Pelodiscus sinensis: one gene and its partner. The protein of the gene in region 1 binds, or shares a complex with, the protein of each later gene. Links are inferred from orthologs where the notes say so. Each region holds a gene or a part of one and is shown on either strand. Other genes may lie near its edges. The genes, in order: GAPDH and RPL13A.

The links.
Region 2: GAPDH (region 1) and RPL13A share a complex: the UniProt entries of both Homo sapiens proteins name them as parts of the GAIT complex. The link is inferred for Pelodiscus sinensis from reciprocal best matches to the Homo sapiens genes GAPDH and RPL13A.

Annotation. Positions count from the first base shown.
Region 1 is NC_134711.1:138,808,115-138,822,957, forward strand, and holds GAPDH (glyceraldehyde-3-phosphate dehydrogenase), read right to left. Parts: upstream 7,142-14,843; 5' UTR 7,027-7,141; intron 6,563-7,026; exon of another isoform or gene 6,560-6,562; 5' UTR 6,539-6,559; coding exon 6,516-6,538; intron 6,016-6,515; coding exon 5,916-6,015; intron 5,718-5,915; coding exon 5,611-5,717; intron 5,518-5,610; coding exon 5,427-5,517; intron 5,223-5,426; coding exon 5,107-5,222; intron 4,954-5,106; coding exon 4,872-4,953; intron 4,584-4,871; coding exon 4,432-4,583; intron 4,274-4,431; coding exon 4,195-4,273; intron 3,866-4,194; coding exon 3,782-3,865; intron 3,555-3,781; coding exon 3,457-3,554; intron 2,808-3,456; coding exon 2,738-2,807; 3' UTR 2,492-2,737; downstream 1-2,491. UniProt on the Homo sapiens protein: Has both glyceraldehyde-3-phosphate dehydrogenase and nitrosylase activities, thereby playing a role in glycolysis and nuclear functions, respectively.
Region 2 is NW_027465977.1:331-15,734, reverse strand, and holds RPL13A (large ribosomal subunit protein uL13), read right to left. Parts: upstream 8,322-15,404; 5' UTR 8,250-8,321; coding exon 8,235-8,249; intron 7,597-8,234; coding exon 7,524-7,596; intron 7,459-7,523; exon of another isoform or gene 7,377-7,458; intron 6,857-7,376; coding exon 6,791-6,856; intron 5,704-6,790; coding exon 5,602-5,703; intron 5,419-5,601; coding exon 5,333-5,418; intron 5,152-5,332; coding exon 5,092-5,151; intron 4,612-5,091; exon of another isoform or gene 4,527-4,611; intron 4,349-4,526; coding exon 4,226-4,348; intron 3,457-4,225; coding exon 3,370-3,456; 3' UTR 3,332-3,369; downstream 1-3,331. Other genes in the region: DHDH (trans-1,2-dihydrobenzene-1,2-diol dehydrogenase), read left to right, coding at 519-771, 1,059-1,183, 1,376-1,526, 1,793-1,905. UniProt on the Homo sapiens protein: Associated with ribosomes but is not required for canonical ribosome function and has extra-ribosomal functions.

The DNA of each region.
Region 1 (14,843 bases):
AGACTGAACAGTTGTAGGAAGGAGCAGAAGCTAGAATGGGCAGAAGCAGCAGTTGCCAACTGCCCTGGCTGCTGGGTGGCAGCAGCTGTCAGAGCTCAAGCCAACTGTTCACAGCAGCTCAGCTCTGGCAGCCATGGTGGCTAAGGCAGCAAGAGGAGGCATCTCCCTCCACACTTGTGGGGCAGGGGAGAGAGGGGGCACACACCCCACCAATGGCCTTTCCCCATGCCTGCGCGGCCAGTGGTAGAAGGCATCTTCCTCTACCCTTGGTAATGGCAAGGCTCCCCATCTCTACCTATGGGGGCACAAGACATACTTGGGAAGGGGGGGGTAATGAAGGAGGGCTGCTCCCCTGTCTGCACAGCAGTAACAGCCACATTCCCTAGAGGGGGCAGCCTCACTCTAGGAGGGTGAGGTGTGGCAAAGGAGAGTTGGGGTCACAGGGCAAGAGGATGGTGGCATGGGCTGTGGGGAACAGAGGGTATTAGGCACTGCAGAGCAAGGGGCTGGGGCAGGTCTAGGCAGAGGGTAACATTTTATTTACATATCCATTCCTTGGATAATAAGCAACTATGTTACCAGGCCACCAAACAGTTTGTGAATGGGTTCAGTCTACAGCATAAGAGGCTGGGAAGCACTGGGCAGGAGCAGAACCTGCTCTTCCACCTAGTTGAAGGGGAAAGCCAGTGTGCCACTTTCTTTATTCCTCCGCTATAGAACACCTATGCCTCTACCAGCATTTGCTCACTGCGCTACCTCACAGTTGATTCTTCCCCACTAATGAATCACATCAACTGCAACATCAGCACAAGCTGAGAAAGCCTAGTGAAATTACAGCCCCCCCTCTTCAGTACAGCCACACCCTCAGATGACAGGAAATGGCAAAATATGAAGATACAAGAGTCTCTCCCCACCCCCACCCTTATGATAAAGGCTTTAATTAAATGCTACAGGTATGCACTCATTAAGGGAACAGTCATTGGAGAATGAATCATGGATGTGTATAAGAGATTAAGCAGGCACATAGGCTATGTCTAGACTGGCATGATGTTCCCAAAACTTTTCTGTTAAAGCATTTCCAGAACAGAGCATCTAGATTGGCACAGACGCTTTTCCGCAAAAAGTGCTTTTGCGGAAAAGCGTCCGTGCCAATCTAGATGCGCTTTTCCACAAAAAAGCCCCGATAGCCATTTTCGCAATCAGGGCTTTTTTGCAGAAAACAAATCTGAGCCGTCTACAATGGCCCTTTTACGCAAAAGGGACTTTTGCCTGAATGGGGAGCAGCATAGTATTTCCGCAAAAAGCACTGATTTCTTACAGTAGAAGTCAGTGCTTTTTCAGAAATTCAAGCGGCCAGTGTAGACAGCTGGCAAATTTTTTCAGAAAAGCGGCTGATTTTACGGAAAAACTGGCCAGTCTAGACACAGCCATCGTGAAAGACATCCAAATATTCTGAAGATTCAAGACTCAAGTGAATGAGATTACTCCTGAAGCTGGGCCTCACGGGGCTGCCCCTCTCTGTAGCATGAGCTTAGCAATGCATCTCAGCACACAAGGGGGTTGCGAAAATAAACATTTTCAGGGCAGGGTTTAGATAATAGACAGCAAGCCCTTGAGCTATCAAGGGGGGAATGGGGGAGGAAGACTACCCAGAAGCCACTTGTACATACACCTACAGCTACTGTAATATATAGGTTAGGACCCAATTATTACAAAGGCAACTTTTCCTAGAATGGGTGACTGACTTAACAGCTGCAAACAAAAACTACACTAGCCTAGTAAGTTACATGATACACTTCATTTCTTACACAAAGTCGAGTATGATCAGGGACAGAGCATGAAATATTTAGTAGCTGGTTGTTTCCATTACAGTCATGGGCCTTACACCCTTACTTGTACACCATCCCATCTGTACACTGAGCAGGTTTTATTGCCATGACACCCATAGTGCCTAAGTACCTCACACCATTCATGTACCTTAATGCTAAAAGGCAACTTAGGAAAAAGAAAGCCTTAAAAAAAAGTGTGGAAAAGTGCCCATCTTGGCAGACCTATAATCTGATATTTTCCAGAGTTGCTAAGCCCTTGCTAATCTGATCTGTAACTGCAGTCAATCAGCATTTGTGAAAGTTGGCTTTAGTTGTTAATTGTGACAACACAATTAGTGGCCACACCTGAATGCTAGTACTTACACACATGCCCTATAGGTTTTAGGAAAAAAGCAGTGTATATGATCATATAGCTTGATTGCCTCACCAGGCAGATTTAAGGCTCCCTTAACAACCTTTCTGTTGGCATGTCCCAGGTTGATTTTTTTGGCTTTAGAATCTTAGCTTTAGTCTTGTAAACTAAAAATGTCATATACAATAGCTGCATTTCCTAACCCATAGCCCATTGGAGTAGTGGAAAAATCCCAGCCTATGTCAATAGCCACAGCAACATGCTAGGAACCCTTTGTGGCCTCTCCTCCTCTTGAGAGAAACAGGAACACTTCAGAACAGCTATTACTTTATTTGAGAAAATGTGATACACAGGCCAGCGTCTGTTGGCTTCCCCCTCTCCCTCACGCTTCAGGCACAAGGCAGAGGAATGGGGAAGAGAGGATGAAACAGAACTGGATTCTCACTTAAGGCTACAGAGCTGCATGGTGGGGAGAGAGGGGTGGGAGGAACAAAGGTCTCCGGTATGATTCTCCCACACCTCCTTCCCCAGGCAGAGACTGATCCATGTGCCTGGTTTATTCCTTCGATGCCATGTGAACTAACAAGTCCACAACACGGTTGCTGTATCCAAACTCATTGTCATACCTGGTGACAGAAGCAGAGAAAGAGCAGTTAGGAATGGACAAACCTCTACATCCACAACAGGAGCCTCCTCACCCCCAAGCCAGGTCCCAGAACAGCCCCCTTCCCTAAAGCAGGGAAAAATTGGAGGCTGAAGTTTGTTCGGATACTAAGGGTCAACTTCATGCTGAGAGGTCTTTCTAGCCCTCCGACCTGCGCTCCTGATGTGGGCGCTGCCCTGCCCCCAAGTCTTGATTGGCCTGGGGGCAGAAGGGGGAGCGCTAAGTCTCCTCTCACCACTGTGGAATCTGGGGGGAGGGGAGGAAGAGAAGGACTTCACATGCTCCCCCACCCTCAGACCAATCATGGCTTGTGGGAGGGGAAGCGTCCTGGCCCAGCCCCTTCCGGTGCACCCCAGGGCCACTTCAAAAATTTCTAAAATGGCTCCCAGCAAAAAATTATTGCCCACCCCTGTTCTACCCAGGTAACTGCCTCTTTGCCAAGCAAACTGCTGCTGGCTGCCAAGTGTTAATTTTAGATGGAGGCAGCAGAGGGAGAGCATGTAAAGCTTGCCGTAATAGGATCCTTGCCAGCACCCCAAGTGCCTCCCAAATCTTCCAACCTATTGCACAGAAACAACCCTCCAAATTCCTCAGATCCCCTCTCCCCGTACCAGGAGACCAGTTTGACAAAGTTGTCATTGAGAGCAATGCCAGCAGCCGCATCGAAGATAGAGGAGCGGCTGTCACCGTTGAAGTCAGAAGAGACAACCTGGAAGTGGGTAAAGAGGAGACACGGTGACTCACACCCCCTTCTGGCCTCAACTCCTTCCCCCACCCCACAAAGAGATGTTAATCGGCACCTTCCTTCATGAACACCCCCAAGAAGAGAAGGGTGTACTGAAGATTTGGTGTTCCATAAGGCTGCTTCTCCCCACATCCATGAAGACATTCATTACATTCCCCCTCCCCCGCTGTTGAAAGGACATGGGAGTTTACCTGGTCCTCCGTGTATCCCAGAATGCCCTTGAGAGGCCCCTCAGAGGCAGCCTTCATCACCTTCTTAATGTCGTCATACTTGGCCTGAGGGAGAGAGACACAGGAAGTCAGAACATCCCAGACCCCATGGCATGGCAGCTGCTCCCCAGGGAAGGTTGCTGCCAGCTTTGAGACTGCACTGCTAAGAGTATAGTTAGGACCCAGTTATGTCTGGTACTATACCAGACAGGGGCAGCTCCCCACAGGCCTGACTGTACCCCTTGCACAATCTCTTAAATCACAAGAAACAACAACAACAGTTCTAAATGGAATGGGGGCTTCAGAACAGCTGCACCCAGTCCCACACGTTGAGGAATGGATAGAAACTTAGGGGTAAAGGGAAGTTGCTCCAAGTCCCTTTTTGTGATACTCACTGGTTTCTGCAGGCGGCAAGTCAGGTCCACAACAGACACATTGGGAGTTGGAACACGGAAAGCCATTCCGGTGAGTTTCCTGTGAGGGAAACAGATCAGAATAGACTCCTGCTTGCCCCCAAACAGGGTTTCTGCACATCCTGCTGAGGAAAGGGCAAGACCGGCCAGCTGAAGGTTCACTACCCCTTCTGATGAATCCCCTGCTTTGGGGCACTGGGAGAAGGAACTGACACTCACCCGTTCAGCTCAGGAATGACCTTGCCCACAGCCTTAGCAGCTCCAGTGGATGCTGGAATGATGTTCTGGGCAGCACCTCTGCCATCTCGCCATAACTTCCCAGAGGGGCCATCCACAGTCTTCTGCGTGGCTGTGATGGCATGGACAGTGGTCTGGAAGTTGGGGGAAAAAGGGGGAAGGGTTAATTGAATTTCTCTAGAGCCTCACCCTGCTGACCTAGAGCATTCCTCCCCCAGCCTTCCTCAACTTTCCTCTAGTCCAGGCAGTATAGGGAGACACTCCTGCTCTGTGGGTTCCCAATCCTCCTTCCTCTACACCCAAAACTGTGGGTTGAGGAGTCCCAGCTTGAGTGTGCAGAGACACCCCTCCCCCCCAAAAGCTCCATGGTTCTGTCCCACTGACAGAGCTGGTGTGGGTTTTTGCGCCTCCAGATTACCTACCATGAGACCTTCCACGATGCCATAGTTGTCATGGATGACCTTGGCCAAAGGAGCCAGGCAATTGGTGGTGCAGGAGGCATTGCTGGAAGAGTCAAGAGGGACACATTAGCCAGAGGCAGTTAGTCAGGGCTCACCTCTCAGCTCCCTCCCCACAACTCACAAGAGAGGGCAATAGTCAGCTATGCACCTCAGGTTCAACCCTGAGAAGACTCCTGCAAACTGTCCCCCTCCTCACCTGACAACTTTCAGAGAATTGTCGTATTTCTCATGGTTGACGCCCATCACAAACATGGGTGCATCGGCTGAGGGGGCAGAAATGACGACACGCTTAGCACCCCCCTTCAGGTGAGCCTGAGGGAGACAGACCAACATTAACAAAATCCTATATCGCTCCAATACAGCAGCACATTTAGGACACCTCCCCAAATAATCGCACTGCAATACAGCCCCAGGGCAGAGAGAACTCTGTCCACACCCACTTCCACATGCAGCCAAGAGTCTCATCCCTACACCCTTTCCTTCCCACTTCCAAGCCAGATGTAACCCATCACTCACGCTGGCCTTCTCTGTGGTGGTGAAGACTCCAGTGGATTCTACAACATACTCTGCTCCAGCATCTCCCCACTTGATGTTAGCAGGATCACGCCTGAGGACGACACCAGAGTATTTAGAAACTGCAAGGCTGTCAAATGCCCTGTCCCCTAGCTCCAAGGGAAAGGGGAGGAAGAGTCATACTCACTCCTGGAAAATGGTAATTGCCTGTCCATTAATCACAAGTTTTCCATTCTCAGCCTTGACAGTGCCATGAAAGCGACCATGCGTGGAGTCATATTTGAACATGTAAACCTAGGAGTAACAGACTGAAGTTGAGTGCTGGCTGCATTGTGTTTCAACTCCCACAGCCCAGGCATTAACTCTGGGCCCCTCAATCCCAATGTGTAGCCATGGGCACTGGCAGGGTTCACAGGGAAATGGTATCACTGATAGCCACATTCCCAGGCCATCCCCAGAATGCTCCAAGTTATAGACCAGGGTTCCACTCACCATGTAGTTGAGGTCAATGAATGGGTCATTGATTGCTACAATCTGGACTTTGTCACAGGTGAAGGCAGCTCTGGTGACCAGGCGGCCGATGCGGCCAAATCTAGGCAAGGCAGAGAAGAGGCGAGCCTCAGGCAGAGCAGGGGAGCCCTGTGCCGATGGGTGCTGGCCACTCAGACTGGGCTTTAGCCCCAGCGGCTGCCCCGATGCAAAGGAGGCCCCCGCCCTACACTCCTCCCACCCAGCCAGCCGGGGCAGCAGGGGCCGGGAGCCGGGCAGCACACAGCGGCGCCTGGAGCCCCGCGCCCCCCGCTGCTTGCTCCGCCCCCGCCGACCGGGCGCTAAATTTACCCCGCGGCCCGGGTCCGGTTACGGCGCGGCAGGAGAAGGTCACATTCCCCGGGCCCGGCGGGACACGCGATACCCCGGCGCCCGTCCCGGGCCGCATGCGGCCGCCCGGCGCTTCCCGCTCGGGGTGACTCGCCCCCCCCCCCCCCCGGCAGCGGCGGGAGAAATGACTCAGCCGCCCGCCGGCGCTGCCCAGCCCGGTGCCCTTGCCACGCCCTTGGCGCCCCCCCGTGGCCGGCCCCCCCCGCCGCTCACCCGTTCACTCCGATCTTCACCATCGCGCTTCTGCCGGGATGCGCCTGCGGAGAGAGCAGGGGTCAGACGGCAGCGGCACCGCCCCCGGCTTCAGAGAACTGGCCCGAGGGCCTTGAGCCGCCGGGCCCGCCCCGCCCCCCGTGCGGCTGGACGGGCGGGACCCAGCGCCCGCCGGAGCCTCCAGGCCACTTCCTCCCCGGCCAGCGCCCGCCCCCCAGGGCTTTGTCGCCTCCTTCTCCCCAGGGCTTGCGTCGCCGAGCACCGGCAGCCTCAGCCCCGCGCCCCCCAGCGCAACCTCCCCGCAGCCTCCACCTCGCTCGCCCCGCCGGAGCACAAAGAGACTCCGGACGCAGAGCCCCACATGCCCGGCCCCCCGCGGCCTCCTTGCCCAGTAGGGCGGCGAGATGCAGCCCGCGCCCCACTCCCACCAGTATCCCGAGACTCGCGCTCCGGCCTGAGCCACCCCGGCGCGGCCAAGTGCCGACTCCCCGCTGCGGCTGAGAGCCCTTACCTGGGCCCTGCCTCTCAGCCACGCGCCTGCAGTAGGGGGAAGGTGAAGGGAGGGACTCTGGCTGCCCCGACCTTTATAGATTTCCGTATGGTAATCGCTGGGCCCAGCCTTTCGAGCAAGCGGCAAATCAGAGGCGGAGGGCTACGTGCAGCCCTAATGCTGAGGGGTTACGCGCCTCCTCTTCCCACGCCCATTTTTGGCCCTTCTCTCGCACTCCCTCGCCTTACAAAGGAGACTCAGGGGGCTCCCCCTCCCTCTTGCAGGCCCCACACAAGCGAGTCACATGTACAGATCCCTCCGATGCGCCCACTTGCTGTGCAGAGGGGAAATCCAATGTAGCTTCCCGTGCAAGGCGGTGAGACCAGGCATGCACTGGGCTTCGCCCGCTACCTCTTTTCTGTAACCAGAAACTCAGATGGGCACAGGCCCAGCCATCGAAGCTTGAAGTGCCTTGTGAGGCAGGGGTGGCTGGGACAGGGAACTGTGGGGATGTTAGGGCCCCAGCACAAGGGCCCACGGCTTAGATGCTATTGTAATGCCAGGGGCACTAAGCGGCGTCCCCTGCGCGCCTGGGTATGGGGAGGGGTGAGTTGAAAGCGCAGCAGGGGAGCAGATTACAAGTGGAGGGTAGATAAGGTGCGTGAGAAGGCCAGGACTGGAAGAGCAGGAGAGTACAGCCCGGCCCTGAAGGGTTAGCGCAGACCGGTGGGGCGGGCGATTATCCCCTTTCTCAGTGGGGTTTATTCTTTCGGTTGGTTGGCTCCAGTGAACTCCCTGCCGGAGCCCCGCCGCTGTGCGGTGGGCAGGGGAAGGACTCGCACAGCAATCGGAGCACAGTGGCGAGGAGGGGGCCGGAGGGGACGCGCACACGTGTCTGCGGGATCCCTCGATGGGGGCGCCTGTCTTCAGGGGCTCCGTCGGTCTTCCCCAGAGAGAGGACGAGGGGTCTGGAAGCCCCTCCCCCTCAAAGGGCCGTGCATGGGGGATGGGCCCCAGGGCTCTTCCCCGGTGGGAGCAGGCGAGCTGTCTCCACTCAGCCTGAGTTACACCTGGCGCTTCATTCTAGCTCGCGCTCGGAAGACTGGCAGGAGAGCGAGTGCGCCTCTACCACACACAGTACGGTAACCTGGCCACAGGCTCTGCGGTGGGGGCTGGGCGGGAGTTGCACAAGCCCCCGGGCGCGGAAGGAACGGGGCACAATTGTCACGTGGGCTGAGCAAGAAGGGGCTCGGGCCGGTGTATAGGCAAAAAGTGAAACCGCTCCGTTTTTGTGACCGTCACAGTTTCTGTCACGCACACATGACATTCGGTGCAACTGCTCAGGACTTGCTCCCTTTGCTGGCTGCTTGCAAATTCAGAGAAACTGTGTTTTTGGGTAGAAAAATCTCTGAGTTTGCTCAGTTCGGGTGCGCAGGCTCAGTGCACCCAAAGTCACAAATCCTGAGAAGTTAAGTGTTTCGGTCGCTGCACCGGCGCCTGCGGGAACAACTTCCCCGAGCCGCCCCCGCAGCAGCCTGGCACCGCCGGGGCGAGCCTGGGAGGATCCGCACCCTGCGGGCCCCTGTCCCTCGGCCCGGCCCGGCGCTGCCGCCCCGCCCCCCGCCACAGCTCCCTGGGCCTTTCTCTGGCTCGGCGCCCCCGCCTTGCCCCGGCCCGACGTGCTCAGCCTGGGAGCGCGGTTCCCAGGCGCTGGCCGGCCTGGCGTCCCGCCCTCGGGCCCGGCTCCAGCAGGCCGCGCTCCCCAGCGTGAGGAACATTCAGTAAGGCAGGGAGGCTGCTACCCGCGGGACGTGACTGCGGACATCCTGCCTACCACCTGACTCGCCCGCTCGCGGGGGGGGACAGGGCGTTTCCGTGGCTCGGGGCCTTGTGCGCGGGAGGGGGAGCACCCGCGGCAGGAGCTGCTCCTGGGCCGGGCCCTGCCTGGCTCACAGGCCGACCTCACCTCACCCGTGCAGCCCCGGGTGGGAGCCTTGCAGGATGAGCTTTCTCACAGCAGTGCCCCGGCGACGCCCTGCCCGAGCTGGGATGCCCGCCCCCCAGTCAGCTCGGCTAGGAGTGGCAGTGCCCAGCCGGGGACAAAAATCCCTGGTGCAGAACAGATCCCCCCTCCCCTGGAGCCGCGGGAAGGGTGAGAGCTGGAGCGTGTTTCAAACAACACGTTGGAGAGCTCTAAGGAGTCTCCCTTTCGTGAGACCGGGTGAGCTATGGAAATGCGTGCGGATAGTAAAGGAGTAAACCCTTCCTCCGCCCTGGCCCTGGCCCTGCCTACCAGGACTGGGGGGACAGTAGCATAGGCGCCGTAGGGAGAGGAGACAGTAGGAGAAAGCAAAGCACAGATAGGAATGGGTAGCAGAGCAGATACCAAGAGGAGCAGAGACAGGTCAACTGGTTAAGAAGTAATCCAACTCCCCTCATCCAGATGCTATTCCCAGGGCTGGGAAAGTGGGAGGGAGCTAAGTTTAGCTCGAATTGAAGTTATGACCTTTAATTAAAGGCCACAGGGATGGTCTATACCACACCAGAGGAGTGGGGACAGTTTGGTACTTCTGACCCACCAGGACATGGGGCAGATCCTGGGCAAAATGTTGTAGAGAAGTCAGGAAGAGGAGGGGATGGACGTTCTCTCCTGAGCTACTTGAGCATTTGCACTAACAAAAGGGCCTGTGTTGGCTGGAGAAACACACATTGCTGAGGACTCTGTGCAGAAGGAAGACAGACCAACCAAACAGCTGCAAACTGCTACACCCTGATCCTAGCAACCACCACTATAGTGCCTCTTGTTGGGGGAAAACCAGCACTGAAGTAGCTAAGAACCACTCCCACCAATGGTCCTGCTCCCCACTACAAGACCGACCAGGAGTAGAAAACACAGGTGGTACACATAGTTTACAACATGCCTGCCCGTGGCTCTGTACCATGGCCTCTGGACCTGGAAAGCAGTTTCTCCTGTGGTTAGCAGGAGAGAGAAGTTGACTGTGAAGCTAACAGTCTAGCACAGGAAGTGGAAGGAAGAGGGCCCAGGCTGCCCCATTAGGAGATAACAGGGACCTAGGCATGAGAGTCTACCAAGGGAAAAGCCTGCTCAGCAGCCAGTGCATTAGCAACCACGCTGTAAGGCTCTGGCTTTTCTGTGACTGTGCTGCCATCGTGAAAGGGGAGGTAGGATGGCAGCTTCAGCTGTGGAGTTTGGCAAAGGGGAGACAAAGGAATGCAAGTTGAATGGCTGTTACATAAGTATTAGGTCAGGCTGGGACAGCTGGTAAGATGAACACAGCAGAACAGTGTCTACTGAGGCAAACAGTCAGACAGGAGAGAATGAAAGAGAAAGACGTTCTAGGGCAATACAGGACAAAGTCTTTCCCCAGCAAGGAACCTGTCTGGATTCAGCCACTCTCTCTCACTAGCTGTAGGATGACAGGAGATTGTCCAGATTAGTACACACTGAACACCTAGACTGAAATGGGAAACTGGAGCATAAAAGATCAGGTCAGTAAACTAACTCCAAGGGGCTGCACCATGCCTAAGATGCTGCTGCCACCTGCTGACAAAAACACACCAACCAACACACATGCTTTTATTCATAGAGCAGAATACAAATAGATAGGAGGCTCCCAGGGACTAGAAGAATTTTTACTTTGAGGGTAAGAGTCCAGTTCCAGTCTGACTCCAGGGCAGAGGAGGTGTTTGTCTCAGAGGCTTGAGGAACATAATACACTTTTTCACCTCTCTGGTTTCTGTCACCCTCATTTCTTTCTACAGGATATCTCTTTTTCCACAAATAATACCAGTCCAAAAAGGGCTGTTGCAGAGGTTTTATTACAACTGGTGTTGGACTAATTTAACTCTATAGGCAAATTAATTACATATCTGTTTATTTACAAACATATCCTTATGCACAAAAACTACCACCAACACTAAAACATTCAGAACTTCAAACAGAAGAACAAAGGCCATGAGGATTTGTTTAAGGTCAGACTTGAGGAGCACTGGCAGAGCTGCACCGCAGGTGAGTGAGAGGTATTGATACAGGTGCACAACTGTGCAAGAAGGGGGCTCTGCCTACACTAAGCAGGCACTGCACTGTTAGGGGGCAGTTATGTTCAGCCATCTTTACCAGTTTCAGCCCCCCCCGCCCCAGTTTGGAGCACAAGACAAAAGAGTTGAAGGACACTAAGCAGTTCATTTTGAATTGTCCCAAAGGACAGGCTGAGTGCCTGTAACTCCTATGTCTAGGGAAAAAATATGTACCAGTCACACAGCAAACGAGCCAGCTTGCCATAATAAATTTTAAAATGACCTACCTGCACAAGGCTCAGCCTCACATCTCTCGCCTCCATAGCCCATAAAGAGAGCCTCGCTCCATAATTCCTTATTCCTCTGCTTTCCCCCTCTCCCTTCCCCCCAGCACTTGTGTCCTTCATGAGCCCCTTGGCCTTTGGACTCACCCACCTTCATGCATCCCAGATCCCACTTCTGGTATCCCCCCTCTGCAAGACTCCCCTCACCTGCCTGTTCCCCTGATTTCAATGCTTGTTCCTTTGTCCCATTCCAGAACTAGCATCCAAGATGACTGGATATGCCAATCTGATCCAACTTTAGCTCAAATCAGCCCTTGGGCATTGCCTTCCGTGAACACTCCTCAGACAAATGCCCACCTGTGATTGGCCAGCATCTGACACCCAAAGGATACCCAGCCAGTATCTGCTCTGTATGGAAGGAGCAGTGTGGGGCTAAGGGGAGCAACTGAGGCTCAAAAGTGGACCTCTCCCTCATGTTATCTCTGGCCCGCATGGATTCAGACTCCAAGAGCAGCAGCTGGGAAAGGAATGTCTCTAAGAAAGGGAGACAGACACACAGACCGAAAGGAGACAGGTTGAGATCCAGAGTATCCTACTCCATCCTGATTCACCTCCTTGTCTTCCCTGCCCTGTAGCCAGGTGATTACCCTGCTCCATCCCATCAAGGGCTAACAGTGTCAGTGCCCATCTGTGCAAATCCACACTAACCCAACCCAGCTTCCAACAGAGCCATACTTGAGAGGAATGTGGAGAAAAGGAACTGGTGCCTCCAATCTGGTGAAACAGCATCATAGGGAACAAGAACTTTGCCCTCTGCCCCAATGAGTGTGTGTGGATTCAGATTAGATTAAACTGAGTTTTCGAACACACTAGATTGTTTTTCACTACTTTCTCCCCTTCTGGCATGAGTACAGGACAAAGGTTGTTTGCATGACATACATTTGCTTGTTTGGCTTTCTTTGAAATTTAAACTCCAGTTATTAACAGGTTAACATATAGTTTTGAGAATATTACAACATTCCTCTTTGCTGTAAATGACTGATATATACCTACTTTAACTTAATTTGAATGTTTGTTAAACTACATTAATAAACAGTAAAAAATCTTCAGATGCAGTATTTCAAATGATCGACAAATTATTTAAATTCTACATCAAATTACTTAAATTTTAACTGTTAATTCTTTCATACTTTCTAACTACTTTAACTAGCCAATTTAAATAACCAGAGCAAGGTAAAGTGGGCTTATAGAACTGTTTTTGCCAGAACACCACAACACAGATGGAGCATATATCCTATTTTCCTCCTCTTCATCCTCCAAAATGTGTTTCTTGAACCTCCCTACTGCTTATCCTATGCATACACTCCCTAGACCTCCTTATGTTACCATGCATGCACTCACCCCCCTCCCTTTGCTCCTGGCCTACCTGCTCAGTGGTTCTCATGCAATGGGTGACTTGATATTTAAGTTAAACAACAAATGGTCTGGTAGCCCTTTATAGACTAACAAAACATGTAGATGGTATCATGAGCTTTTGTGGGCACAGCCCATAGGCAGTGTAGCTGTAGGCATGTCAGTCCAATTAAAGCTTGCTCTTTCCCGGGGGCAGGGCAATTTTTAGAGTGGGGATACTAAGTGTCTGTCTTTCACTTACAGACACAGACAAAGACCCCCTTATGCTTCTTCCTGTCCCTCTGATGGTTGACAACTCTCCTGACTGGGTTGACCAGATGCCATTTGCAGCAGTGGCATCCAGTCTGGGAGACTTGGCAGCCCTATCATCTCTCCATCCCAGGTTGGAGCCGCAGCTGGGGTGCAGGGAAGCTGGATGCAAAACCTGGAAGTGCTGCAGCACACCCTGCAACCCTAGTGTCCAGAGATATGCTTCTTACCCACTTTGTCTCTAATTTAAGATACTTTTTTTGTGTGTGTTAATTTTCATGCTGAAAGTACAGCGGTCATGAACCATTATTCTCAGTTGAGTTGAAGTTACAGCTACCCTGAAAAGGGTAAAAAATGGTTACTTACCATCTCATAACTGTTGTTCTTCAAGATGTGTTACTCATGCCCATTCCATATAGGAGTGAATGCACTGGGCTCATCAGAAGGTTTTTCCCTCAGTGGTACCTGTTGGGCCAGCAGAGAGCTCCCTGGAGTGGCGCCTCCATGGCAGCACATATACCCCTGCCAGCCCTCCATCCCCCCAGTTCCTTCTTGCCGAAACTCTCTGATGAAGGGAAGACGGGTGGGATTTGGAATGGACATGAGCAGTGCATCTCAAAGAACAGCAGCTATGAGAGGTAAGTAACTGGTTTTTCTTCCAATGATTGCTCATTTCCATTTGAGGTAGGTAACTCCCAAGCCAAACCCAAGGAGACGGGGCTGGGGCCTATCTGGAAATGGACTGCAACACCACTCGACCAACAGCTGCATCATCTCCGGTCTGCTGCGCTATGGGGTCATGGGTTGCGAAAGTATGCAGCAAGGACTAAGGGCTGCCCTGTAAATATCTAGGATGGGTACCTGTCCCACAAAGGCAGCTGACAAGGTGTGGGCCCTAGCGAAGTGAGCCGTAATGGGGAAGTTGGCAAATGGGCCAGCTTGTAACAAGTCCTGATGCAGGATGTAATTCAGCAGGAGGTAGGCTGGGCCAAAACTGAGAGATCCTTCATCCTGTCAGCTATCGAAATAAACATCTGCAGGGACTTGCAGAAAGGTTTTGTCCTATCTAAATAAAAAGCCAAGGCACGTCTAACATCTTCCTGATTGACATGAAACAGACTCCACCTTGGACAAAAAGGCAGACTGTGGGCAGAGCCTAACTTTATCTTTAAAAAAACCAGTGTAATGGGGATTGGAGGTTAAAGCTCAGGGCTAAGGCATCCTCCTAGCAGAAGTAGTGGCCACTAGGAAGGGGACCTTCCAGGAAAGATGCAAAAGACAGCACGTTGCCATTGGCTCAAAAAATGGGTGCCATCACCCACCTTTATAAGCACCAGCTTAAGGTTCTAAAGTTGGAGAGGCTGACGTACATGTGGATCTAACCTGTCCAGCCCTTTCACAAACCAGTGTACCATGGGGTCAGCGAAGACAGACTTTCCCCCGGGACCCAAATGGAAGGCCAAGATGGCCACAAGGTGAACCCTGACCTAGGAGGTGGCAAGCTCCTGAATCGTAAGGTCCAAAAGGTAGTCAAGGATAGCTGGGATGGGGGCTTCTACAGGGGAAAGTCCCTTCTAGGCCACCCAAAGTACAGAGGACTTCCACTTAGGTAGTCGAAAACCTTCACACTTACCAAACAGAACCCTCTGAACTCATTCTGAGCACTGTCTCTCCAAGGCGGTTAGCCAAGAGTGCAGGGACTGGCGGTTCAGATGGTGAAGCCTGCCAAAGGCCTGCGTTATCAGTTCTGGGTACACTGGGAGCGCGGTGGGCTGGTCCACCGACAGATCGAGTGGAGTCGAGAATCAGGGCTGTTGAGGCCAAGATGGTGCTATCAGAATCAGGGAGGACTTG
Region 2 (15,404 bases), on another chromosome or scaffold:
TCCTGCCCCGTTCCCTGCCGCCCAGTGCCCCTGGGGGAGACATTGAGAGCTCAAAGGAGCGGGGGCTGACACCCCCCAGCACCGGCAGGGCAGCCTTTAGAAGGGGCGTCCCGTCCCCTATTTCCTCCTCTCCACGCCTGGAGATCGGAAATTGCTGAGTCCGAGAAACTCCCCAGCCGAGGTGGCCCTGAGCCAGGCCGCCAACCGCCCCGTGTGCCGGATGTCGGCCATCCACATTCCCAGAGGATCCATCCCGTGATGCCCTGGGGGTGGGGCTGTGCTAGCCCCGGGGAAGAGTCGGCTGCATGGGATCTGCGGGGGGCAGGACAGGCCCCAACAGGCTGGAGCCGACCCCACCCGTAAGCCAGCCCCGAAGGGACCCATCCCGTCGTGGGTGTCAAAGGGAGAGGCAGGCCCAACGCGCTGTGGGTCTGACACGAGATCCCCTGGGGCAGCCCAGCCAGGCAGGGGAGAGCGCCCCCTCACGGCCAGCACTGATTCTGCCCTGCTCCCCCCAGGCGTTCTGGACCCGCTTCTTCCCCCTCTCGGAGCAGCTCCGCGAGCTGCTGGCCCAGGGAGCCCTGGGGGAAGTGAAGCTAAGCTGCGTCGCCGTGGGGCACCCCATGGAGAACATCCCCCGGCTGGTGCAGAAGGAGCTGGGGGGCGGGGTCGTTCTGGACCTCGGCTGCTACTGCGCCCAGTTCGCCAGCATGGTCTTCGGGGGGGAGAAGCCGGAGTCCATCATAGCCTCAGGCTTCCTCTACCCCACTGGTAATGGGGACACTGGGGAGGGGAAGAGAACGGGACAGGACAGGGAGAAGGGGCAGGAGGGAGGGAATAGCAAGGTGTGGGGGGAAGGAGTGAAGGGCACTGGCAGGGTGGGGGGCAGGATTGAGAGGGGGCAGGGCAGGCAGAGAGGTGGGGGGCAGGGCAGAGGCACCGGTGGGGGGGTGGGCTTAGAGACCAGAAGGGGCAGGGCAGGGGGCAGGACAGGGAAGGGCAGGGGCCGCGGCTCAGCACGCAGGGCCCCTGAGGGCTGCGGTTTCCCCATTCCCCAGGTGTGGACGAAACGGCGGCCATGGTGCTGAACTACGCAGGCAACCGCCAGGCCGTGCTGTCCTGCACCATGCGGGTGGAGGTCCCCGGCGAGGCCATCGTCTGTGGCACCGAGGGCTACGTCAAAGTGAGTGGGGAGGGAGCGGGGGGGGGGGCAGCCCTTGGCCTCTAGCCCCAGCGGAAGAACCAGAAACACTGGTTGGGAGTGTGGGGTCCAGTGGTTGGGGCGGGGGGACACCTGGGTTCTCTCCCCAGTTTGAGGGGGGGGGTCAGATCCCATGGGGGGGCTGTTAACCCTTTCTTCCCTGTACCCCTCCAGTTCCCCTCCCCCTGGTACACCCCCACCACCATGTTCGTGAACGGCGAGCGCCATGACAGCCCCCTGCCGCCCCCCTCCCAGCCCCTCAACTTCTCCAACAGCACCGGCCTGCGCTACGAGGCCCAGCACGTGCGCCAGTGCCTGCTGCAAGGTGAGGGGGGCGGGGAGGCTCCTGGGCTCTCTCCAGCCCTAGGAGGGGGAGTAGGGTCAAATGGTTAGCAGAGGGGGAGGTGGGGCACTGGGAACCAGGATTCTCCCCAGCCCTGGGGGGGGGGGGGGTCTAGTGGGCTAAGCAGGGAATTCAGGCCCAGGGGTTTCTCTCCCATTTCTCAGCAGCAGGCTGGGCACTGCCAGGGGGAAGCTCACAGCCTGGCTGTGACCCCCACCTTCCACTGAGCTCTTCCCCCTCCCCCCCAGGCCTGAAGGAGAGCCCCATCATGAGCCTGGCTGACAGCGAGCTGGTGGCCTTCATCATGGATGAAGTGCGGCGACAGCTGGGGGTGACCTACCCCGAGGACCGGCAGGGCTGAGGGAGACGCACCCCACCCTGGCCGGGGCATGCGCTGCGGGCGTGTCTGCTCCCAAGGCCGGGGCTACAATAAACACAACCCCGTGGCTGCTTGCTGCATGGAGCTGGGATTGTCTCTTTTCTCTTCCAGCCCCCTCTCCCACCCTCCCAAAGAGGGGGAGGCCCGGGACAGATACAGGGCCCCTGACAACACTGCCCCCGCTGGGCACAATCGTTTGGGCAGAGAAGGGGGGTAGCTACTCCAAAAATAAGGGAAAGCTTCAGGCTGCTCCTGTACCCTGCCTGCTCCTGCCCCCGACTAATCGTCAGCTTGAGCCAGTGGCTGGAAGCCTGTGGGTGAGTCAGGCAGGGGAAGTCCCTCGTTCGCAGCCCCCCACCCTGCCCCACGTTCAGTGCCCGGTGCCCCACAGAAATTCCAGCCCCCTTACGCCCCACGCTGCCTCCAGCGGCAGGAGCCGGTCTGGTGAGTTGTTCCATCAGGGAACCGCGCAACCACTAAAAATTGGAAGCGTTTAACCAAGACCACTGACCAACAGGCACCCTGGTCGCGGTTACCCAGGGCACCTCCGACAGCCCTAGGATATAGGCACACCAGGAAGTTATTTCCCCCACCGCAGGAGGGCTGGGGGCTAAGGACACAGACAGCAGCGGGGGGGGGGGGGGGGTCATTTCACCACACACACAACCCAGCTGAGGAGTAGCAGGGAAGGGGCAGAGGGGAGAGCCAGCCCACACTGAACTCCCCAGCCGAGGCAACACCTGGGAACGACGTATCCGAGCAGGGATGAGGCAAGGCTCAGAAAACCGGCCTGACAGTGAGGTGTCAGGCCTGGGGTGGAGCTAAGCCCAGGGCAGGGGTGGGGAGAGAAGAGAGCAGCATCCACATTACATCAAAAATTTCCACAGGGGACTCCCCCGCTGCCAGTCCCCAGCTGATGAAGACAAATTCTGAGTGGAAAAGTGTTGGGGGGGTGTGCAGAAGGGGCACAGGAGCCACCCTCCCTCAGCAGTCCCTGTACAGGCCCACTGCAGGCAGCCCCAGGGCCCTGTCACACAGGAGGTCAGACGAGCCAGGCCAAGGAGCTATAACAAGATAGGCCCAAGCCGCTGCATAGCAGCCGTCTCCTCAGCTCACGGCTGGTGAGTTCTCAAGGTGGTTCGCCTGCAGGGAAGCGCCCAGTGCACTGGAGTTACAGCCCCACAGGGGAGATGGCCTTGAACACGCCCCTGCAGCGCTCTCAAACCCACAGTGCCTGGGGCTGCCGGGGCAGGAAGGGGAAGGCACATGCCCCCGAGACCTGCAGCCCTCCTGAAAACCAGAGCAGCCGGAAGCGGGAGGGGATCCAACGCTAAGGCCCAGCCGCTGGAGGCTAGAGACTGCAGTTAGAGATAAAAGCCAGGCCCCGAAGACACAGAGAGGGGCCGGGTGGAAGTCGAGGGGACTAGTTTTATTGAGGTCACAGGCTCAGACCAAGACACCGTACTGCTTCAGCACGGCCGTGTAGCGGGCGATCTTGCCTTCCACGTTCTTCTCTGCCTGCTTCTGCAGTTTCTGCAAGACATGCCAGGCGGAGGCATCAGACCAAGATTCAGGGGACATCCCTGGTAACAGGGCCCTGGCCCCACACTGGATATGGCCTGATTCGAATGCTCAGCCCTGCCCCACACACTCACCCGTTCCTATCCCTAGTCTGAAGGTGAACTGGTCACCCTAGAGCAGCCTGTGTGTACAGGGGGGAGGGAAGGGGGAAGAGGCCCAGAAGCCAGCCTGAAGTGCACAGGGCTCCCCCATCCCAATTAAATCGATTAACCAGTTAAACCTGTTAGCCGATGAACCAGGATTTTACATCCCTAGCTCAGATGGGGGAGGGAGGGTGCACAGGGGCAGTTCCACCCAGTCCAGCACCAGCTTGGGGCTGGCCTACCAGGGCCCCGGGACGCTTTGTATGGGCCATGCTCTGCACGCCCAGCCTCCCCCCACCACACACACCAGGGAGGGGGACACAGAGCTTCAGTTTGACGACTGCAGTGCACCCCGACCCCACTGAAATAAGCTCTACAGGCAGATGGCAGGGAACGAAGGATGCAGCCACCTCTGGGGTGGGGTTCCAGGGCTGAGGATCTGGGGGACCTCTCACCCAATGGCGAGACAACTCCTCTGGGGCAGGGCATGAGGGCTGCTCATGCAGGAAGCCCATAGCCAGCGGGCAGATGCGGCCGCTTCAGGGGCGGTGCACGGAGCTGGTTATACCTCCCCCCCTCTTGCTGGCAGCTCCCCCACGGGGGCCGTGCAAGGCCCAACGACATCCAGGATTGCTCACCATCAGCTTCTTCTTCTTGTTGTAATGCAGCTTGGATTTCTCCTTGCGTTTCTCCTCCAGCGTGGCGGTGATGGCCTGGTATTTCCAGCCCACCTCATGGGCCAAGCGTCCCAAAAAGGCGAACTGCGGGGGGAGGGGGGAGACCGGTCAGGACAGACCTGAGGAGTCCTGGCTCCCAGCCCTACCCACCAGCCTCCACTCCCTCTCCCAGAGCCAGGGATCCAACCGAGCTCCCCAGTCCCGCCCCCCCAACCCCCTTCCCATGGGATCCAAGGCGAGCCAGGTCGTGCAGCGCCCCATGGTGGTCTCAGATGGTAGTGCATGTAGGATGCTGTCTCATGGTCGTGAGACTCGAAAACAAGTAAATTAGCATCATCACAGACCGCCCGAGGTGCCAGTTGCCAACACAGGGTACAGTACGGCCACTGGCAGGCATGGCCAGGGCATCGCTGGACCGACAGCACAGGAACCATCAGGCAACTTGCACTGAACACAGACTATACAAGGTGGTTCCTTGGCTTGGTCACTAGCTGCCATGTGACATCAGTCCAAGGCATCACGCAGCAATAAGCTCCATAGGTTAACACCCTGCTGCCTAATGAACCTCTGACAAACTAAGCACCAGTATCATGTGGCAGGCAGTTCCCCTGGTTAACGCAACTGGCAAATGAATTTACTGCCTTGGAGTTGGCCATGGCCTGCTACCATTGGCAGTTAGTCCCACGGGTTAATGACACCTAAGTTTTGCCTTTGAAGAGTCCTTTGTTCAAGCTGTGGAACTACCTGCCTCATGACAGCACAGCCGTCTGTCAGAATCCAACTTCCTGCCCCTTCCGGTGCGGAAAGGGGCTCTGGGAGGGACGTACCTTGCGTGTTGGCTTCAGGCGTACGACTTTCAGAGCAGCGGGCACCACCATCCGTTTCCTCTGTGCAGGCAGGAGAGAGGAGTGCGTTAGGGGGATGGAAACGGGGGTGGGGGGAAGAGGAGCAGGGCTGGGGTGTCTCAGGGTACAGGTTTTTCTCACCCAGCATCAAACAATGTAGGTAGATAGAGCATCATAGACAAAAGACCCACCATTCCCCACACGGCCCCCAGGGCCCCCTTACCTTGTCGTACGGCGGTGGGATCCCATCAAAGACTTTCAGCCTCTCCAAGGCAGCCTGGCCTCGCTTGGTCTTGTGGGGAAGCATCCCTGCAAGGAACAGCAGCTGCTGGGAGCAGGCCGGGGCACCCCGCACTGTGGGGCTCTGCCCCCCAGGCTCCATGGAAGGGAGCTCTAGGTACCTCCCCCATCAGACTATAAGGAATGAGTCATGGGTGCCACCAGGGTGCCCTGTAGCTGCTCCCCCCGCCCCCGTACGGCCCCGGGGCTTACCTCGCACCGTGCGCCAGAAGATGCGGCTGGGGGCGCGGAAGTGGTAGGGCCCACGGGACGGGTTGGTGTTCATGCGCTTGCGAAGGAAAGCCAGGTACTTCACTAGAACGAGAGCGGAGCAGGGTCAGGCCACACCCCAGGGCGAGCCGGGGCAGCCATTCTCCCAGATAGCCCAGCTCTGCGACCGAGGGCAGGGGAGGCAGCCCCCCCCCCCCCCCCCCCCGGCCTCGGTTTCCCCTCCCACCCTCGGGGATTGTGACGAAGTTGGGATTTTTCCACGGGAATATGGTGGGTGCCTCAGTTTCCCTCTGGATTGCACCCGTGGCTAGGTGGCAGGAGTAAGGGTGTGTTGGGGGTGGGGAAGCACACTCCAGCTGCCTGCATGCTGGCTACAGCTGGCCCTTTGGAACTGAAGCCCCAGGAGGGCGTGACCAGGTAACTTTCAGCCCCAGCAACAGAGAAGCAGCAACAGGTGTGGGGACAGCCAGGCAGCTGGAAGTGAGTCAGGCTTGGCTGGCTAGGGGTGCAGGGGGAAGGCCAGAGCCTGGGCTCTGGGTTCCCTGCCCCGCCCCCCCGACAGACTTACTGAAGGCTCCTGTCCTCTGTGCTAACCAGCTCTGTTCTACACTGTGTCCCTGTGCACCAATAACCTCGCCCCAGGGTTTCATGCTGGCTGAGAGAGTTGGGTGCAGGGCCCCCCAGGAACCGGAAGATCTGCTGCGGGGAGCACAGGGGGATGCCGACTGCCCTGAGGTCAGGCCCAAGCTGCAGCAGCCGGCTCCGAGAGACGAGGTGCCACCCCAGCGTCCCACCAGGCTTCGGACAGAGCAGTGCCAGAGAATCGGCCCCACGGCTCCCTGATGTGGGAGAGGGCTTGTGAGCTGGTCAGGACAGGGGCCGTCTCTGCCTGGGTCTGTGCAGTGCTGGGGGCATCCATACAGCACCCGGTGCTAAACCAATACCCATGCAACCACAGGGAAGGCGCCTCCCACCCACTGCCCCCTTTCTGGGATGCGCTCTGTGCCCGCAACAGACAGAGCAGAGAGGGACTGGCACTAGGCAACTGGCAAGGGAAATGGCGACCGGAAAAGGACCCAGGAGTCCTGGCTCCCAGCTCTACGCACTACGCCCCAGCCCCTTCCAAGAGAGCTCAGGAGTCCTGGCTCCCCGGCCCGGCAGAGACACTCACGTTTGTTGCGGTAGAAGTTTCCGGAGATGTTGATGCCCTCGCATCTCACCACCACCACCTTGCGCCCTGGGAGGAAGTCAGAGAGGGACCGTAGCCATTTGGGGAGCACTGCGGAGCCAGCCTGGGGCCCAGGAAGTACGGGGCACCCCGCTCTGCGTGGTCAGAGACTTGGGGGGCACAGGGGACTAGGACAAAGCCGCTCAGCTCATGAGCTCAGGGTCCAACCCCAGGGGCTAGCAGCCGAGCAGGGCCCTGGGGGAGAGGATGATTCAGGGCTGCAAACCTACTCTGCTCCTGCATTGAGCCCGGCTCTGGAGACCTGTTGGATACAACATTTGCATCCACACCTGTCTGAGCAAACTGAGCTGCGGATACCGACATGCACGGCAGCCGCAGACCTGCAGGGCTCATCACCATGGACTTAAGGCCTGGGTGTCAGGAGAGAGGCAGAGGAGACTGGAGGGTTTAACAGCATGGCCAGGGAGAGGCACTCTTAGCAAATCCAGCCTCCCAGGTCCCTATTCTAACCACTAGACCCCACTCCCTTCCCAAAGGGGTAGAACCCAGGCGCCCTGGCCCCCCGGTAGCGGTCTCAGATGGTAGTGCATGGATCGGGCGCTCTCATGGCTGTGACACTCGAGCACCGAGACAGCATCATCACAGACCTCAGGGGTGCAGGGCCCAGGTGTGGGGGGTATTTCCAGGCCTGGGGGGGCCCCCCAGCGATACTCACCCAGCAGGACCTGTTTGGCCACGATGGCTGCCAGGCGCCCCAAGAGGTGGCCGCGCCCATCGATGACCAGAACCTGGCGGGGGGGAGGGGGGGGAGAGAGAAAGGGTGAATGTGGGACAGTAGGGTCACAGCTATGGGGGGGGGGTCCAGGTCTCACCTCACAGGCTGGCTACAGGGGAAAGGGGAAAACTCATATGGGGCACCAGCAGCTGGCTCTAGGGAAAGCCCCTGCCGGGGGCGGGGGTGTGACACCTCACCCCCATCACCACTAGGATCCCCCAAGGGAGAGGGCTGGCAATAGGTTTCCTACCCATGGGGGAGGGGTCCCGCTTCAGCCACCCATCCCCGTTCCTGATGGGCCTCGAATTGCCCCCCCCCCACCCCCGGACACTACAGCCCTTGGCCAAACCCCTGCCCCCAACACCAGCCCCAGGTCTCAGCCCCCCCCCCATCTTCATCCCCACAGAGCCCCCCAGCTGCCCCCACCCCCCCACACCCCTCCCAGCCTCCCACCCCCCCAGCTGCCCCCAGCGCCCCACCCCCCCACCTCTCCCGCATCCCTCCTAACCCCCCCACACGCCCCCCCGCCCACGAGGCCTCTCTCGCGCTCCTTGCCCTCACGGGGGGGGGGGGCAGCCGAGGTGACACGGAGGGGGCGGGAGGGGTCCCGGGGGGCGGGGCCGGGAGGGGGGTCCCGGTCCCCGCGCGCACCTTGAGCTCCGCCATGCTCGCCGGCCGCCGGGAAAGAGGCTCCGCCTCGCGCACGCCGCGGGGTCTCCCCGTCCGGCGCGGGGCGCGCAGGGGCGGAAGTGAGCGCGCACGCGGGCGGACGTGAAGGCGGCGCCGGCGCCGCCGTTAAGGGCAGAGAGGCCGGAAGTGACGCAATCCAGGCCCTCGGGCGGAGGGCTAGCAGAGTCCCAGGCAGGGGCGGGCCCCGGAAGTGGCCGAGGTAGCCCCGCTCCCTGCTTCCGGTCCGTGCTGTTACCTTTCGGCTGCGTCCACACTGGCGCGATCGTGCACAAACACTGGGGGGGGGGGTTCTCGTGCAAGGACACGGACGTTCTAATGTGTGAAATCAGCAGGAACAAGCCCCCTTGCACAACTGTTCTTGCACAAGAGGCCAGTGTAGCCAGGCAACATGAATTACTTGTGCAAAAAAGCCCGATGGTTAAACTGGCAAGAGAGCGGCTACACTGGCACGGATGCTCTTGTGCAAAAGCACATCTCTTGTGCAAACGCACATCTCTCGTGCAAACGCACATGCCGGTGTAGACGCTCTCACCTGGAAGAGTTCTTGCACAAGATCATGCCAGTGTAGACGTAGCTTTTGGCGAGCTGTTCTTCCAACTCCTTTTTGGCTTTTCTTATTCCCCTTAATTTGGCAGTGTTGAGGCTCTTTTCTTTTACTACACTTGAATGTAAATTAAACAGATCTGCTTGGCCTGTGGTTCCATTTATTTTAGATCCCAGGGAAACCAGGACACTCCAGAAAGACTTAACTACATTCTTCTTTATTATTAGACAATCTGTCTATTAAGTGGCTACCATTCTTGTCTGTCTATCATGGGATTGTCAATTAGGGTTGCCAGGTGTCCGGTTTTCATCCGGACAGTTTGGTATTTTGGCCTTCCATCTGCTAAAAAAAGCCCAGAGAATACTGGACATGGAAAATGTCTGGTATTTTCTATTTTCCTTGGATGGAAGGCCGTCGTCCTCTGGGAGGCCTGGGGAGAGCAAGGAGCGTGGTAATTTAAAGGCACAGCAACCTCTTTTTTTTTTTGGTCAACCGATTTTTCCCTGCCTGTTCGGGATTTTTTGTGAAGGTATCTGGCAACCCTATTTTCAACTTGTCGCTCCTGCGCATGCGCCAACGCGGCCACCCCCACCAGCTCCTGCAGGCGTGCTCTGCCACCTGGCTCAGTGTCGCATGATGCGGCTCCACTCCCGGGGAGGAGCTGCTGCTGTGGCCCACACAGCAGGCGTCCTCTGCCGCTGCCTCTTGCCGCCGCTTTACCCCCGGCCTGACCACAGGAGCCGCCGGGAGAGCAGCAGAATCCCAGGTGGGCAGGGAGGGAGGACGGTTGGTTGCTGCCCGCCTGCGGGGCCGGGCCAAGGGTGCCCGGGCACTGCTCTCTCTGGGCAGATAGCCTGGCCGTGGGGGCACCATCCACCTGATGGTCTGCACCACGCAGGACCAGGCTGGTGCCAGGTACAAGGTGAGGCTGAGCCCCCAGGGTACCGGGTTGGAAGCAAAGCTGCCCCCGGGGCTGGGATGGGCGGCACTTTGCTACTGTCCCCCGAGCACCAGGCGGGCAAGAACCTCAGAGTTTTTAGCAGCAGAAACACACTATATTTAAGACCAAAAAGACAAAATTATATACACACACACAACTTAAGGTAGTTGCGAACTGTTAGCCACCCAATCTTTCTCCTCAACTGGTAGCTGAAAACAGTGGCTGCATCTAGACTGGCAAGTTTTTCCACAAAAGCACCTGCTTTTGCGGAAAAACTTGCCAGCTGTCTACCCTGGCCGCTTGAATTTGCATAAGGACACTGACGATCTCATGTAAGAGTGTCAGTGTTCTTGTGGAAATGCTATGCTGCTCCCGCTCAGGGATAAGCCCTCTTGCGCAGAAGCTTTTGCACAAGAGGGCCAGTGTAGACAGGTAAAAATCGTTTTGCGCAAAAAAGCCCCGATGGCGAAAATGGCGATCAGGGCTTTCTTGAGCAAAACCGCATCTAGATTGGCACGGACGCTTTTCTGCAAAAAGTGCTTTTGTGGAAAAGCGTCCGTGCCAATCTAGATGCTCTTTTCCGAAAATGCTTTTAACGGAAAACTTTGTCGTTAAAAGCATTTGCGGAAAATCATGCCAGTCTAGACGCAGCCTCTGGGTTTACTCTTTTGGTGCGCTTTTAGAAAGATTGTCTTTTAAAAAAAAATTATATCCCTCCCATCGATTCTTCTTACGAAGCCCATTTTATAGCAAAGCGAGACTTGGTCATTCTAATATTTACCAATTGATGATGTGTCGGCTAAGATACCTACAGTGCACAATGCCCCTGTTCTGGGTACATCCTGCTACGCAGGGGCTGTGTCTAGACTGGCAAGTTTGTCCACAAAATCAGCTGCTTTTTCAGAAAAACTTGCCAGCTGTCTACACTGGCCGCTTGAATTTCCGCAAGAACGCTGACTTCCTACTGTAAGAAATCAGTGCTTCTTGCGGAAATACTGTGCTGCTCCCGTTCGGGCAAAAGCCCTCTTGCACAAATCATTTGCGCAAGAGGGCCAGTGTAGACAGCACAGTACTGTTTTCCGCCAAAAAGCCCCGAAGGCTAAAATGGCAATCGGGGCTTTTTTGCGCAAAAGCATGTCTAGATTGGCATGGACGCTTTTCCGCAATCTAGACGCGCATTTCCGCAAATGCTTTTAATGGAAAAACTTTTCTGTTAAAAGCATTTGCGGAAAATCATACCAGTCTAGACATAGCCAGGATGTTGCAAAACTATATATGGACTGTAGTTAACAGTTTTATGGCTGTATCTGGAATTTTTGCTTATCAAGAATAAAATGTACCAATACAAGGTTCCTCCCGATGTCCCTGGCGTGGTTTCATGTGCCATGCTGTATCTGTATGATTGTGCAAAAAAAAAAAAAAAAAAAAAAATCCTACCTCTCAAAGCTCTCCCCCTGCAAACCTTGCCTGTGTGTTTACATGCACCAGCCTTAATAATAGATGGAGATATACCTATGTCATGGAACTGGAGTCCCCTACACTCATAGCAGGACCAAATACTATCCCTGACAGATTGGCCCTAGATCCCTAAACAGCCCCCTTGAGGATTGAACTCACAACCATGGGTTTAGCAAGTCAATGCTTAAACTCTGAGGTATCCCTCCCCCCAGCCTTGAAACAGGCCTGGGTTTTGCTCCATGAGAGCCGCACGGTGGTCAAGGCAGACACATCCAGCTTTCCCTCCAGTGCTAAACGGTGTCGGGGCGGACGCTATGGTTCCTTTCAGGTCTTTGATAAAACTTAACTTGCTCAGGGCCCACGACCACCCACCCCAGCTGGACCCCCCCAGGAAACCCCTCCCCCGACACGATGGTGCTTCCCCGTTTACAAGTGCACTTTGAGAACCATCAGCCAGCCAGTTTTAAATCCATTTAATGTGTTCATTTCCGAGCTATGTCGCCCGGTGCCCTACAACTGTCTAGGCCCGGTACCGCCACGCTGGTAGGTTGATCAGCCCCGGATGAAATCGCATCCAAAGATCTGGGGTTGTCAACAGGGCTTACAAGAGCAAATGCGAGTCAGGCCCTGTCCTGGGCGTACGTCACCCCCAGCTGCTGCCGTACCTCGTCCATGATAGAGGCCACCAGCTCGGAGTGAGCCAGGCTCATGACAGGGCTCTCCTTCAGCCCTGGGGGGGGGAAAAAAGAAGGGTCAGTCTAGGAGGTGCTGCGAGCTTCCCCCCAGCGGTGCCCTGGCTGGATGCTAGGTGCTATGAGCTTCCACACAGCAGGGCCCCCCGCTGGATACGCTGGGGGCTGCAAACTCCTCCCCACCCCAGCAGTGCCCCCTCACGAGTTACCTTGGAGCAAACACTGGCGCACGTGCTGGGCCTCGTAGCGCAGCCCCGTGCTATTAGCGAAGTTGAGGGGCTGGGAGGGGGGCGGCAGGGGGAACGTCTCCCGCTGCCCGTTCACCACCAGCTCCGTCGGGCTCCACATCTGAGACGGCAGCTGCAGGGAGACACAATCCGGGGGGTTAGAGCCTGGGAGGCAGGACGCCTGGGTTCTGCACCCCACGGCAGAGACCCCTCCCCGCCGCAAGCCTCAGCTCTGCCACCCCCCCTCCCCCCGCAAGCCTCAGCTCTGCCACCCCCCCCCCCCCCCGCAAGCACCTGGATGATGCCCCTTGTGCCGCTGAGGGCTGCCTGGTTGGGCAGCCGGGCCGCAATGGAGCAGGTAAGCACGGCCTGGCGCTTCCCCCGGTAGTTCAAGATAATGGACTCCGTCTCATCGGCGCCTGGGAAGGAGAGAGAGCAGGAGGGCAGCCCACACCCAGCCCTGCCGGGGCCCCTCTGCCGACCCACAGCCCCTGACAGCTCAGCCCAGCCCTGCCGGGGCCCCTCCCTCCCACCCTGCAGCCCCTACCAGCTCAGCCCATCCCTGCTGGTGCTCCTCCCGCCCGACCTGCATCCCCTGCCCCCCAAGCCCTGCCGGGGCCCCTCCTTCCCAGCCCACAGCCCCTACCAGCCCAGCCCATCCCTGCTGGTGCCCCTCCCATCCGACCTGCATCCCCTGCCCCCCAAACCCTGTCGGTGCCCCTCCCTCCCCCCTGCAGTCCCTACCAGCTCAGCCCATCCCTGCTGGTGCCCCTCCCGCCTGACCAGCATCCCCTGCCCCCCAAGCCCTGTCGGTGCCCCTCCTTCCCACCCCACAGCCCCTACCAGCTCAGCCCAGCCCTGCTGGTGCCCCTCCCGCCCGACCTGCATCCCCTGCCCCCCAAGCCCTGCCGGGGCCCCTCCTTCCCAGCCCACAGCCCCTACCAGCCCAGCCCATCCCTGCTGGTGCCCCTCCCGCCCGACCTGCATCCCCTGCCCCCCAAACCCTGTCGGTGCCCCTCCCTCCCCCCTGCAGCCCCTACCAGCTCAGCCCATCCCTGCTGGTGCCCCTCCCGCCTGACCAGCATCCCCTGCCCCCCAAGCCCTGTCGGTGCCCCTCCTTCCCACCCCACAGCCCCTACCAGCTCAGCCCAGCCCTGCTGGTGCCCCTCCCGCCCGACCTGCATCCCCTGCCCCCCAAGCCCTGCCGGGGCCCCTCTGCCGACCCACAGCCCCTGACAGCTCAGCCCAGCCCTGCTGGTGCCCCTCCCGCCCGACCTGCATCCCCTGCCCCCCAAGCTCTGTCGGTGCCCCTCCCTCCCATCCCGCAGACCCTACCAGCCCAGCCCATCCCTGCTGGTGCCCCTCCCGCCCAACCTGCATCCCCTGCCCCCCAAGCCCTGTCGGTGCCCCTCCCTCCCCCCTGCAGCCCCTACCAGCTCAGCCCATCCCTGCTGGTGCCCCTCCTGCCCGACCTGCATCCCCTGCCCCCCAAGCCCTGTCGGTGCCCCTCACTCCCACCCCACTGCTGCCCCCCACAGCCCTGCCACTACTCCTCACTCCTGACCCGTAGCCCCTGTCAGGGCCCCTCACTCCCACCCCACCGCTGCCCCCCACAACCCCCCCACTCCCGCCCTACAGCCCGTTACTGGTGGGGAGGAGGAAGCCCGAGGCGAGGACAGACTCCGGTTTCTCTCCCCCGAAGGCCATGGTGGCGAAGTGGACGCAGTAGCAGCCGAGGTCCAGCAAGGCCCCGCCTCCCAGCTCCTTCTGCACCGCCCGGGGGCACTCCAGGAGGGGAGCCCCAAAATCAATCCTCACCATCTTCAGCTCCCCGAGCGCCCCCTGGGAGAGCAAGGAGTAGAGCCGCTCGGAGGCTGGGAAGAAGCGGGTCCAGTAGGCCTGCGAGGGGACACAGAGAAGAGGGTGCTGGGGCCCGGGGCCAGGCAGGGGCCCAACGGGGCCGACCCGTCTGGAGACTCCCCGGTTCGCCCGCTCCCTGCTGCTCCCCAGCCAGCTCACTCGCGCAGGGTAAAGAGCAAACAAAACAAGGGTGGGGAACATACGGACCAGGGGCCGGATCCGGCCCCCAGCATGCCTGGATCCAGCCCCAGAGGCTCGGGGCTCTCCCCAGCAGTGGGGGAGCTGGCCCTCCAGCCCTGGGGCTCCCCTCCTGCCCAGACTCTGCACACCCCCCCACTCTGCTCCTGCACCCTGCCTCCCATCCAGTCTGCTTCTGCATCACATCCCCCTCAGCCCTGCCCCCTCCCTCCTGCCCAGACCCCACACCCCAAGTCCGATTCCCCGCAGCCCCTCCCACACACTCAGCCCCACTGCAGAGCCGGGGGGGCCAAAACAATCTGCTAACCTGCCCCCCCGCCCCTGGCTCTGGTAGGCGAGGAGAATGTGGCTTTTTGTGGGGTGGGTTTTTTTTTTTTTGCTTCTCACTTTTGTGTCCTTCCTCCTGCGACTGGGGATATTGGGCTGGGAGGAGTGGGGGCGGGGGCCCAGCAGGGGACGCTGTGCTGTGCGGGGCAGTAGGGGGCGCTGGGCTGCGGGGGGCAGTAGGGGGCGCTGGGCTGCAGGGAATGGGAGGGGCGGGGGCTAGGGTTGCCAGGTGTCCGGTATTCACCCGGACAGTCTGGTATTTTCGCCTCCTGTCCGGTAAAAAATGTCGGGTATTTTCTGATTCTTTCTCTGGCCAGGAGGCGAAAATGCCCGGCACCTGGCAACCCTACAAACACTCAGCACCCAGGCTCCCCGGCTCCCAGCCCCCCCAGCCCCCCGACCCCAGCCCCCATGCTTACCTGGTTCTGCAAGGTTGCAGGCACAAAATGGCTCCCCTGTTCCTATCCCTGCACTCACTCTTAAAGCAGACATGCTGTTTTATTTTATTTTATTTTTTTGGTCGCCCTCCCCACTTTTTTTTTTTCTTCAACAGAATTTTTCCCCGGTGGATTTTTTTGGTGTGTGCGTGGGGGGGGGGGGGGGGGGGGGGGGGGGGTGTCAGTATTTTTGTTTCAACCATCTGGCAAACCTAGCGGGGGCCCAACAGGAAGTGTGTTTGGGGTCACTCACCTCCATCAGGAAGACCCCCGGCTCTGTGCCACCTGCGCCAGCTCTCTCACCTCCGCCGCGTTCATGCCCAGCGGCTTCTCCAGCAGCACCGGCTTCCCGGCCTCCAGGAAGAGCCGCCCCACGGGCAGGTGCTGCGGGTGGATGACCCCTACGTAGACCACGTCTGCCAGGGGAGGTGGGAAGGGGGGATGGAAC